4 linked regions of the Saccharomyces cerevisiae S288C genome follow. Changing the gene in region 3 together with the main gene of any one other region gives a genetic interaction. Each region holds a gene or a part of one and is shown on either strand. Other genes may lie near its edges.

The links.
Region 1: mutations in BRR1 (region 3) and CWC21 together harm fitness more than expected from each alone (negative genetic interaction), as found in Saccharomyces cerevisiae (3 studies listed by BioGRID, with this or other methods).
Region 2: mutations in BRR1 (region 3) and ISY1 together harm fitness more than expected from each alone (negative genetic interaction), as found in Saccharomyces cerevisiae (3 studies listed by BioGRID).
Region 4: mutations in BRR1 (region 3) and LIN1 together harm fitness more than expected from each alone (negative genetic interaction), as found in Saccharomyces cerevisiae (3 studies listed by BioGRID).

Annotation. Positions count from the first base shown.
Region 1 is NC_001136.10:1,419,855-1,422,583, reverse strand, and holds CWC21 (U2-type spliceosomal complex subunit CWC21), read left to right. Parts: upstream 1-1,745; coding exon 1,746-2,153; downstream 2,154-2,729. Other genes in the region: alpha-1,2-mannosyltransferase KRE2, read right to left, coding at 99-1,427; alkaline phosphatase PHO8, read left to right, coding at 2,334-2,729. UniProt on the Saccharomyces cerevisiae protein: Involved in pre-mRNA splicing. May function at or prior to the first catalytic step of splicing at the catalytic center of the spliceosome, together with ISY1. May do so by stabilizing the catalytic center or the position of the RNA substrate.
Region 2 is NC_001142.9:526,896-529,913, reverse strand, and holds ISY1 (Isy1p), read right to left. Parts: upstream 1,218-3,018; coding exon 510-1,217; downstream 1-509. Other genes in the region: OSM1 (fumarate reductase), read right to left, coding at 1-53; UTR1 (NADH/NAD(+) kinase), read left to right, coding at 1,438-3,018. UniProt on the Saccharomyces cerevisiae protein: Involved in pre-mRNA splicing and cell cycle control.
Region 3 is NC_001148.4:670,877-674,075, forward strand, and holds BRR1 (Brr1p), read left to right. Parts: upstream 1-1,594; coding exon 1,595-2,620; downstream 2,621-3,199. Other genes in the region: TFIIH/NER complex subunit TFB4, read left to right, coding at 250-1,266; YMC1 (organic acid transporter), read left to right, coding at 2,875-3,199. UniProt on the Saccharomyces cerevisiae protein: Involved in mRNA splicing. Required for snRNA accumulation and manufacture of snRNPs.
Region 4 is NC_001140.6:410,867-414,166, forward strand, and holds LIN1 (U5 snRNP complex subunit LIN1), read right to left. Parts: upstream 1,541-3,300; coding exon 518-1,540; downstream 1-517. Other genes in the region: REC104 (Rec104p), read left to right, coding at 2,041-2,589; KEL1 (Kel1p), read right to left, coding at 2,819-3,300.

The sequences.
Region 1 (2,729 bases), on a different chromosome or scaffold from region 3:
TTTGATACGCAGTCCTATGTGTACTTAACCAGTTATAAAAATAAAATATAAATAGAAAGTATAAAGTCAAAACAAAGAAACAGTATGTTCCAAGATTTCTACTCACGGAATTTTTTCCAGTTTTTTGGCTTTACCAACCCTTGAGCATCATAATATTCCTTACCACAAGAGTAACCTTGGAAAGTGAAATCATTACCTTGGTCACATTCACAGTTGTTACTGTTATAGACCTCCTTGTCCAATGGGCAGTTATCATAAGGTGGATGATGGTAACCAATGTCTGAAAAATAATGGATTTTATCCTTTGGCAAAAACAAAGCAGCAGCAATAGAATGAACGGGAGCATCGCCCCATCTTTCGTAGAAAAATCCACCTTGATGATCCAAAGTGTCAAAATACTCTCTGTAGGCTGGTGACCTCCACAAATTCAAGTTTGCAATTTCAAAGTTTGACCAGAAATGGCACAGATTGTATGTTTTACCATTATCGTTCGAAAGAAAACTCATCAGGTTGTTTTCATCTAAGTATTCGGGGTTCTTTTTGATGAAATCCATGGACGTTTGCCATAGTGTTGGGATCGTCACTTCATATTCATGAATAGAAACGGTAAAGCCGTAAACTTTTTCGTTTTCTTGCATCCACTTAAAAACGTCGTAATTAATATCACAGTATAACTTGATGTCTGGTTCCACACGCCAGTACCAATCGTACTCTTCTAATAATTCATGTCTCCAGAAAAACCCAGATTGGTAACGACACATGTGTCTATAAGATTCGGAGCCACCGTATATGTATTTGGTGGCAGCATCTGCACGAATTTCAGCAGCCTTGGTTTGATTAATCCATTCAGGATATGACCAATGTTCCTTGGGCAAAATACCAAACTTAACTTCGGAAGAAACAGCTTTGGTGACTGCTTCCTTGAATTCTTCAGTAAAAGGTTCATCGTTTAGGAAAACCCAAGGATATGGGAATTTCTTGTTAATTTTGTTTTCCACATATTTAATGGAGCTTAGCAAACCTTTCAACTCCTTGTTTCTCACCAAAGTGACGTAACAAGCTTTTGGCTTACCAGCTTTGTTAGCAAAAGATGGAGTGATATAATCCATGGTTGTTTTAGTGTCGATCGGGGCATCTGCCTTTTCAGCGGCAGCTTTCAGAGCCTTGGATTCTTCATCCATGGCTTCGGAGTCTTCGCTTGCCTCTGAATTCAGAGCACTTTGCTCTAATTTTTTAGCATCATTTTCCTCAGAGATGACTTGTTGTTCAGGGGATATAGATCCTGAGGTAAAATCAAATGCAGCGGAGATGGAACTCGGAATATATTGCTGAGTTCTACTGTTGGAATTCAATGTTAGGAGGAGAACAATAACCGCACCTGCAATGACGGTAAATCTCAACAGTCTCTTACTGAGAAAGAGGGCCATGCTTTCGAGTGGAACTGCTTGCGAATATGGATATCACTTCCAGTATTATAGATTCATAAAATGTATAAACGAATTAAATCGCAAATTATCTCCTTTTCAGACTGTTTCTTCACCAAATTTCTTTTTTTTTTCCTACTAGAAGAAGGCGTAGCAGATAAGAAGGAAAAATTATATTAAGCGTGCGGGTAAAGGCAAGGAAGAATCAAGTAAGACCTCAAGAATGGCACTATAAGTGTGGTATTATAATCTGTGTAATCCTAATTTGAGCTCTACACAATACCATTCGACGGTTAACAGCTACTGCATCACCGTCCAGTCATGTCGTACAACGGAATAGGGCTCAAGTCGGCAAAAGGGTCATCTACGTCGGGCCACGTGCAGCGATCACTTGCTAGCAACAATAGGCGCAGACCACAGGGTAGTCAACAGCAGCGGCAACAACGACAAAATGCGATCAAAAAGGCCAGCCATGACAAGGCAAGCAGGCCTCTTGCTGTGCAGAAACAGATAGAGACTCATATGGAGAAACGTGAGATTGAAGTACAAGTTAGCGAGCTACGGGACCGACTGGAGGAGGAAGAAACGCTCTCGGAAGAGCAGATTGACAAGAAATGTGAAGCGTTGAGGGCAAAACTGACGAACGAGTGGCAAGAACAGCAGCGGATGTCCTCTTTGTACACCCCTCGTAAGGCGCGTCTAACGGAAGAGCAGCATCGACATGAATAGCAGCATTGACGATAGCGATAAGCTTCGCGCGTAGAGGAAAAGTAAAGGGATTTTAGTATATAAAGAAAGAAGTGTATCTAAACGTTTATATTTTTTCGTGCTCCACATTTTGCCAGCAAGTGGCTACATAAACATTTACATATCAGCATACGGGACATTATTTGAACGCGCATTAGCAGCATGATGACTCACACATTACCAAGCGAACAGACACGTCTTGTTCCTGGATCTGACTCGAGCTCTCGTCCTAAAAAGAGACGGATCTCGAAGAGATCAAAGATAATAGTATCCACTGTGGTCTGTATTGGTTTGTTGCTGGTTTTAGTGCAACTGGCATTTCCAAGCAGTTTTGCATTACGTTCTGCATCACACAAGAAGAAGAATGTCATATTCTTCGTGACGGATGGGATGGGACCTGCGTCTTTGTCCATGGCAAGATCATTCAACCAGCATGTTAATGATTTACCTATAGACGACATCCTGACACTTGACGAGCATTTTATCGGGTCTTCGAGAACAAGGTCCTCGGACTCACTAGTCACTGACTCAGCTGCGGGCGCCACCGCATTTGCATGT
Region 2 (3,018 bases), on a different chromosome or scaffold from region 3:
ATCAATACGAATATTGAGACGTAAATGAAAACCCTTCTCACAGATCTAATCATTTTCCTAAGACTCGGGATGATATAGAATTATTAAGGTATTTCCTATCATAAAATCTTTCCCTTTTCGGCGGTTTTGTTTTAAATCTGGATTTCTAAGCAAAGGATTTTCGCTAGTTTTTTTTTTTCAAGTAGCTCGTAAAAAGAAAACGAGAGCTACTCCTGCATGATTCATATAAGATTTGACGAGTGTATAAGATACATTTGTATTGGTGTACATTATGAAATCTATGTAATCTACCTAAGCGTAAAAAGGAGATCTTGCCTTCGATAACTAGTACGGTGGAAGAATTACATTTAATAACGAACGGGACAATATGATATCATAGAAGAAAAAAAAATGAGTCCCGATCACTATTTTACTTCATATCTGCAGCTCGGACATGTTTGAAGATTATAATGCTTGTGATGGTCATTCGAAATAGTGCCTCTTCTAAATGTTTGAATAATTTTCCATAGCTAAAGGTTAAGTTCATCCATTAGTTTCTTTTTTCTTCTTTGCACTAACCAATGCTCCATATCTGCCAGAGTTGGTACATGGATTTCTTGTGTCTGCCTTGACATTTCTTCTTCATCTTCATTCACAGGCACATTATAATGTGCTTTCAAAATGGATGTCCAGTTAGCCTCAAATTCGGTTAAGGCGGCTGTGACTTTGCCATGGTAATAAAAATCATTTCTATCCTTCGGTATGCATTTGGTGTTTATAGAACCCCCATCATTCTGCCTTTGAGACTGCTTGAGCCATTCTTTTACTTCAGGCAATTCCAGGGCTCTTCCAAAATATCTCTTACCATTTATCAGCTTTCCTGAATTCATCAGCACATGACTGTCTTCTAACCTTTTCCTCTTGGTTTTTTTTTCCATAAGTGTATGGTCAATGTGCCACTGCCATCTCTTCCATTCTTTGAAAAGATTATTAAGTTCGTCGTTAAGTTCCGCAATCTGCATTTCATTTAAAGACGGATCATATATTCTTGTGCTTTTTTGTTTTATCTCTTTACTTACTTGTCGCTTCCATTCGTTGGCCTCTTTTATGGATTTTACCTTAGACACGTTCCTGGGCCTCTGGTAACGTGAATAATCCTTGTATCCACCTGCCGACTCTGCTTGCTGCTCTTGAAATCGTACCAGAACTGAGTTGGCCTTATCTACATTTCTACTCATTTTGAATGCACAGGTATCTGATTACTGATGTGGTGCGCCTTGCGATATAACGGTGTGTCACTTTTATTTGCTCTTTCATGCATCCTGAAATTATTTCACCGCACTACGCAAAGAGAACGGAGAAAAAGGTATAATAGGGCAAATGATCATTGACATCGTGATCGTAAGCCAAAAAAAAATACAATAGGCTCCCTAAATAAGTAGAGTAAAAGCTCTTGAGATGAAGGAGAATGACATGAATAATGGCGTAGATAAATGGGTAAATGAGGAAGATGGTCGAAATGATCATCATAACAACAATAATAACTTGATGAAGAAGGCCATGATGAACAATGAGCAAATTGATAGAACTCAGGATATCGACAACGCCAAAGAAATGTTGAGGAAAATATCAAGTGAAAGCAGCTCGCGCAGAAGCTCCCTGTTGAATAAAGATTCATCTCTCGTGAACGGCAATGCAAACAGTGGCGGTGGTACGAGCATTAACGGAACAAGAGGAAGTTCTAAGAGTAGTAATACACACTTTCAGTATGCCTCCACGGCGTATGGTGTAAGAATGTTGAGTAAAGATATATCTAATACCAAAGTGGAACTGGATGTGGAAAATTTGATGATTGTTACGAAACTCAACGATGTCTCACTGTATTTCTTAACAAGAGAGTTGGTAGAATGGGTTTTGGTACATTTTCCACGTGTGACTGTTTATGTGGATTCCGAATTGAAAAACAGCAAAAAATTTGCCGCTGGCGAGTTATGTGAAGATAGTAAATGTAGAGAATCAAGGATCAAGTATTGGACAAAGGATTTCATCAGGGAACATGATGTTTTCTTCGATTTGGTAGTGACTTTGGGTGGCGACGGTACTGTTCTTTTTGTAAGTTCCATTTTTCAGAGACATGTACCACCCGTTATGTCGTTTTCATTAGGGTCTCTAGGATTTTTAACAAATTTTAAGTTTGAACATTTCAGGGAGGATTTACCTCGGATTATGAATCATAAAATCAAGACAAATTTACGGTTGAGGTTGGAGTGCACAATTTATCGTAGACACCGCCCTGAAGTAGACCCAAACACGGGGAAGAAAATATGTGTGGTGGAAAAACTAAGCACACACCACATTTTGAACGAAGTGACCATCGATCGTGGTCCAAGTCCTTTTCTATCCATGTTAGAATTGTATGGTGACGGCTCATTAATGACCGTTGCGCAGGCGGACGGACTGATTGCTGCTACTCCGACTGGGTCCACGGCCTATTCTTTGAGTGCAGGTGGGTCATTGGTATGCCCAACCGTCAATGCAATCGCTTTAACACCCATTTGTCCACATGCATTGAGTTTCAGACCCATCATCTTACCAGAAAGTATAAATTTAAAAGTGAAAGTCTCGATGAAGTCAAGGGCTCCAGCATGGGCGGCTTTTGATGGGAAAGATAGAATTGAATTGCAAAAAGGTGATTTTATAACCATATGCGCCAGCCCATATGCTTTTCCAACCGTGGAAGCCTCGCCCGATGAGTTTATTAACAGTATCAGTCGACAACTAAACTGGAATGTGAGGGAACAACAAAAGTCCTTTACGCATATTTTGTCCCAAAAGAACCAAGAAAAATATGCACATGAGGCGAACAAAGTCAGAAATCAAGCAGAACCTTTAGAGGTAATAAGAGATAAATACTCTCTGGAAGCAGACGCTACTAAGGAAAACAACAACGGAAGCGATGATGAGAGCGACGATGAGAGTGTAAACTGCGAAGCTTGCAAATTAAAGCCTTCGAGCGTCCCAAAACCTTCTCAAGCAAGG
Region 3 (3,199 bases):
TTTTAGTTTGTGTAAAATTAATTTGATAAATAAATGAATGAAAATGATCAATAATAAGCGAATAACTATATTTTTAATTACCTTATTTTTACAATATTTTTCACTTGCACTTTTATTTTATTTTCAGCGCGCAGCTCGTCTTGTTCTGTTGAAATTCAAAGATACCTGAAGGAACATTACAACATCAATCAACACTTGAGTAGAAATATACACGATCCAATAAAATATACTGAAGCGAAGCAATCAGAAATGGATGCAATATCTGATCCAACGTTTAAGCATGCTAGATCAAGAAAACAGGTTACTGAAGAATCACCATCTTTGCTTACCGTTATTATAGAAATTGCACCAAAGTTATGGACAACTTTTGATGAGGAAGGAAATGAGAAAGGAAGTATAATAAAGGTTTTAGAGGCATTGATAGTATTTCTCAATGCTCACTTAGCGTTCAATAGCGCCAACAAAGTAGCAGTCATTGCTGCATACTCTCAGGGAATCAAATATTTATACCCAGAGAGCACATCTGCTCTAAAAGCCTCTGAATCTGAAAATAAAACCCGTAGTGATCTTAAGATTATTAACTCAGATATGTATAGACGTTTTAGAAACGTTGATGAGACGCTAGTGGAAGAAATATATAAACTATTTGAGTTAGAAAAGAAACAAATCGAACAAAATAGTCAAAGGAGCACGCTAGCAGGTGCCATGTCAGCTGGGCTGACTTATGTAAACAGAATATCAAAAGAGTCAGTAACTACCTCATTAAAATCAAGGCTACTTGTTCTTACGTGCGGGAGTGGCAGTAGTAAAGATGAAATTTTCCAATACATCCCTATAATGAACTGTATTTTTTCCGCAACAAAAATGAAATGTCCCATTGATGTCGTAAAGATTGGTGGTTCTAAGGAAAGCACGTTTTTACAGCAAACGACGGATGCCACAAATGGCGTTTATTTACATGTTGAATCTACAGAAGGGCTAATTCAATATTTAGCAACTGCAATGTTTATTGATCCGTCGTTAAGACCTATAATTGTTAAGCCAAACCATGGATCTGTAGATTTTAGGACATCATGCTATTTAACAGGGAGAGTTGTTGCCGTTGGATTCATCTGTTCAGTTTGCCTATGTGTCTTATCAATCATACCGCCCGGAAATAAATGTCCTGCTTGTGATTCTCAATTTGATGAGCACGTAATTGCCAAGTTGAAGAGGAAACCAGTTGTTCCAAGGTTGAAAGCCAAAAAGAAGGTGACGAAACCATGAACGAAAGGAATGAACATTATCCGTTTCAAGCAGGTAACCTTCGTCACAATGCATCGTAATAATACATAAAAAAAAATTAGCTTTAAGCACATGTATATTGGACATTCCACAGAAAAAAAAAAGCTTTTGATGTGATTAGCTTAAGACGTTGTGTCATCTTTGAACTGTTTTGACTTCAATCATATCGAATTTGATAATATAACTATCTATGTACTGTCTGGGTGCATCGCTGTTGTTGCTTCGGTAGATTTATTAGTTCGCTTTGGATAATGTATCATACAATAACATTGCCAACATCCATCATAACAGAAACATTAGGTGATAAACAATGAAAAGAGGAGAAAGCCAGGCGCCTGATGCCATCTTTGGTCAATCTCGTGCATTTGCACTATCTGATTCTTCAGTGAATCCTGATGTCATTGAATATCTTAAAAGTGTTAGGCAAGAAGCACTAAGAACCAACGCCATATCGATTAAGAATCATATGAATCTGCAAAAGAGGACGCGTCACAAATCAAGCATGTACGATGATGAGGATGAGGGGGCCCTTAAAAGGCACGCCATCTCGCCATCCTTGATTAGGCTTCAAAGGAATGTAGAAATATGGGTAAGGTGGTTTAACTCTGTGAAGGCGACGGTGTTGACTAATGCCTACGAGTTTACCGGTTATGAGGACGAAACACTGGATCTTTTATTGCTTTTCTTAAAGAATTATCTCGAAGATATGCCCAGCAAATGTACTACAGTTGAAAAAATTATAAGTGTCCTAAATCAGCATTCCTTTCCTGAGAAGGCAGAAGAGAAGGAAGAAAATCTTCAGATTGATGAGGAATGGGCGAAGAATATTTTGGTACGGCTGGAAAAAACCAAGATTGACAGTGTTGAGGATGTAAAAAAAGTAATCACTGAAGGAGATAAACATGAACTAGTTGGATACAACCAGTGGTTCCAATACCTTATAAACAATGAACCGCAGCATACTACTTTTCATGAAAAGATTACCTCTAAGCAACTTTGGGTTCTGATCAAGTATATGTCGAATACATGGATAAAAGAAATACACAAGAAAGGAAGGCATTATCGTCGGCTGCAAGATTGGCTATTCTACATACTGGTACATACACCCGAAAGAGTCACGGCAGAATATACAAGCATCTTGAGAGATCTTGGAAAGAAATGCCTTGAACTGATTCAAAAGAAGCCAGTTGAAGCACATGAGAATAAAATAACACTCCCGAAGGAGATGGCGGAATTGAATGTTGAGATACCAGCCGCGGTGGAGAATATGACGATAACTGAGCTGACAGTGTCTGTTATAGCAGTGAACTATGGTCAAAAAGACTTGATAGAATAATGTAAATAAATTTCTTATGTAGTTTTTTACAGGAAGTAAAAAGTGTTATTACTTTGATTGACTCATTCTTACATTTACTGATAGGCCGAAGATAAGCGGCGCCCTAAGAAAACTCGAGCGCAAATTGTCAGCGATGATGTAGCCATGCTATAGCATCAATCAATGTCAATAAGCTAATAACAACTATCATCTATACTCCAACGCAGCTCTCTTGTTTAGGTTTCTCGTCAATCAAATTCGCATCACGAAGAAGTATGTCTGAAGAATTTCCATCTCCTCAACTAATCGATGATTTGGAAGAACATCCACAGCATGATAATGCTCGAGTCGTGAAAGATTTGCTTGCAGGTACAGCGGGTGGTATTGCGCAAGTGCTAGTGGGCCAGCCCTTTGATACGACAAAAGTTAGGTTACAAACATCGAGCACCCCAACAACAGCCATGGAAGTCGTCAGAAAGCTGCTTGCCAATGAAGGGCCTCGCGGGTTTTACAAAGGAACTCTGACGCCATTAATTGGTGTTGGTGCATGTGTTTCATTACAATTTGGTGTTAATGAAGCTATGAAGAGATTTTTTCATC
Region 4 (3,300 bases), on a different chromosome or scaffold from region 3:
TTTCTTGGCTCATGATTATATTGTAAAATACATAGCATTTTATATAATTGTGGTGCTAACCCTAAGTACTTTTTTTTTTCGCCCTTTCCGGGTTTCTTTTTTTCACCTTTTCGTTTTTCTAGAATTTCGCAAAGTATATAAGAGACCATAAACAGTTGGAGAAAAATATCACAAATTTATCAGCCCAATTTATGGCAGCTTAAAAATGTCTAGGTCGATGCTTTCAACGATATCTTTATCAGGTGATTCTTACGCGCCAGGTGGATAGAGGAAATTTGCGACAGTAGGTTTACTGTCCTGGTTTCCTTGTACACTTGTGATACTCATTTTTTGTCTGCCAATAATATAGTCCTGTTTATTTGTTATATGATGATAACCTTCTCAGCTCACTCAGATCTTTTGATATGATTGATAAAAATTTCCTATCCAACATTCATCAATTTATCTGACCAAACAATAAACTTAGTACTATATAGTCTCGCAGGCAATTCTCTTGAATAATTTCAACTTTTATATCTTACATGAAACTTAAACACGATACATGTATCCAGTTTTCATCTCGATCTGGTTCGCTGTGAAATTTTACTATAACACTGTTTTTGAAGTAGGATTTTTGCCAATAAGACATTTCATAGTTCGTGTACAGGCCGTGATATTCATCTAATTTGTTCAACCACTTGAAGCCCCATAACTTTGTTTTATGGTTAACTATTCTGGAGGAGTCATCGAAAATTTCCTCTTCTATAGCATCCTGAACTTTTAAGCGGTTATATTCATATACTTCACTGAATCCCTTTTTTTCTAGTATATTGATCAAATCAGATAATAGCTCGATTCCGTGAATAACATATTTCAATGATTTGTTCTTTTTTGAAATGGCAATTTTTCGCAGCTTGTTTAACCTGCCCAAGGATTCCAGTACTGTTTCATTCTCATCAACAAGAAAAAATTTCAAAAGATTTAATGCTTCGTGGACCATATAATGTCTCGAATTCTGCGTTTTGACACTTTGTTCCTTTTCTAAGCGATTTACCTCCTCTGTATTTATGACATCATTCATCCATTCCTCATTATCTTGTTGATCATTTTCTGTGGCGTTTTCTGTCTTAATATAATTCCCATCTTTATCGAATACCCCATGTTTTATTTCGTCATCTATATTAAATGGCTCTATATTCACACCTTTTTCTACCTTGCTCTCTGAATTACCGATCTGATAATCTAAGTCGGCTAAGTTTTCTTTCTTGAACTCTGCAATATCCAAAAGCTGAATTTTCGATTTCTTTCGCTTTCTATGGTCTTCGACGTGATCTTCATTTTTTTCATAGGATTTTTCATCCATTTCTTTCCCACTATTTTCATTATCTGTAGAATCTTCAACGCTAGAATCAGAATCAGAATCATATTCTGCCCTGCTTAGCTCTTCATCTTCATATATCGTACTTTGATTATGTAACTCATCGCTAAGCTTTTCGTCGTGTTCACGTCGATCACTATTTCTTTTCAGTTTTGAGCTGTTCGGGTATTGCGTATATTTCATATCCTTCTACAAACAATATGGTGCACTTGAGTGTTTTTATCAAAGTTTTCCCTTGTTCTTTAAAAGGCAGCTTAGCATGGTCATTCCAATTTGTTCGGATGCGCTTCTTTTAATCTAGTCAGAGAAACTTACCCATTAAGTAATTAAAATCGATTATTAGGGCATAAATGGAAGAAAAGGAGACTATGTTGGTAGAATGTAAAGGAAGGGACCCTCATTCACAAACAAGGCAGGGACTTTTATGTTACTACTGAATGTTCATGGTGATGAGTGATAATGTCCTTTAGCTAATAGAGTAAGCCACACTTATTCAAAGGTCAATTTGGAGTAGGCTTACAAATGTAGTCTTTTCTTTCATAAACCAGTAGTGTTAAACTTTATGTTTCTTCAACTTTGACGCACAATATTTGGCGGCTATTTTCCGCTATACCAAATAAAATATATCTTTTGTATAAGAAAACAAACTGCTGAAGAAAAGAACATACAGCAACTTGGACAACATGTCCATCGAGGAGGAAGATACAAATAAGATCACATGTACGCAAGACTTTCTTCACCAATACTTTGTAACTGAAAGGGTTAGCATTCAATTTGGGTTAAATAACAAGACCGTAAAAAGGATAAATAAAGATGAATTTGATAAGGCAGTAAATTGTATCATGTCATGGACAAACTATCCTAAGCCTGGGTTAAAACGAACAGCTTCAACGTACCTCTTAAGCAATTCCTTTAAGAAATCTGCAACAGTATCTCTTCCGTTTATCTTAGGCGACCCAGTATGCATGCCGAAGAGGGTGGAAAGCAATAATAATGATACCTGTCTTCTGTATAGTGACACATTATATGACGATCCTTTAATACAGAGGAATGATCAAGCAGGAGATGAAATAGAGGATGAATTTAGCTTTACATTGCTACGAAGTGAAGTAAATGAAATCAGACCCATATCTTCGTCCAGCACCGCCCAAATACTGCAATCGGACTATTCTGCGCTGATGTATGAGAGACAGGCTTCAAATGGGAGCATATTTCAGTTTAGTAGTCCCTGAGATTTAGTTTGATATCGTTAGCATAAGCTATTTGTCACGTTACTATTTCTCTCCTTCATTTATTCTTCCATGATATATAAATTTTTGTCAAGAGTACAGTTATTATTATATTATATCATTATTATAATTGTTATGATTACTATTAATATTATTAATGTTTATTATCAATGTTTATTATTATTATTGTTATTACACATGAAAAGTGAAATTTCATTACGCATATTGTCTTTTATAGTAGATCGCTGTCAGCATCTTCATTAACTTGTTTGGTGTTATTTTCCAAATTCAATAATCTCTTTTTCAACTCTAACACTTCACTTTTCAAGTCATCTCTTTCTTGATTAGTGATGAAGAGTTCCGCTTTCAGATCATTTATTTTGATGTTGAATTGATTTTCTCTTATGCTGTTGCTATTTTTTACATTATTGGAACTCTCCTCGGTGCTTCTGAGACCATTTTCGAAATTTTCACTGCAGACGCCATTTTTGAACTTCAATTCATCTAACTCGTCGATTAACTTTTTATTCAAACTCTTGTACTTCTCTAGCTCTCTTTGTGAAACCATTAGTGCCTTACTTGCACTGTCCATAGAACTGATACTTTCTTTGTAATCATTCTGTATTTTTTTGATTTCATTCTCTTTTACTAATACATCTTGACTTAATGAGCTGTGTTCCATCTTTAAAGCATGGTATTCAGAAGATAGTTTTT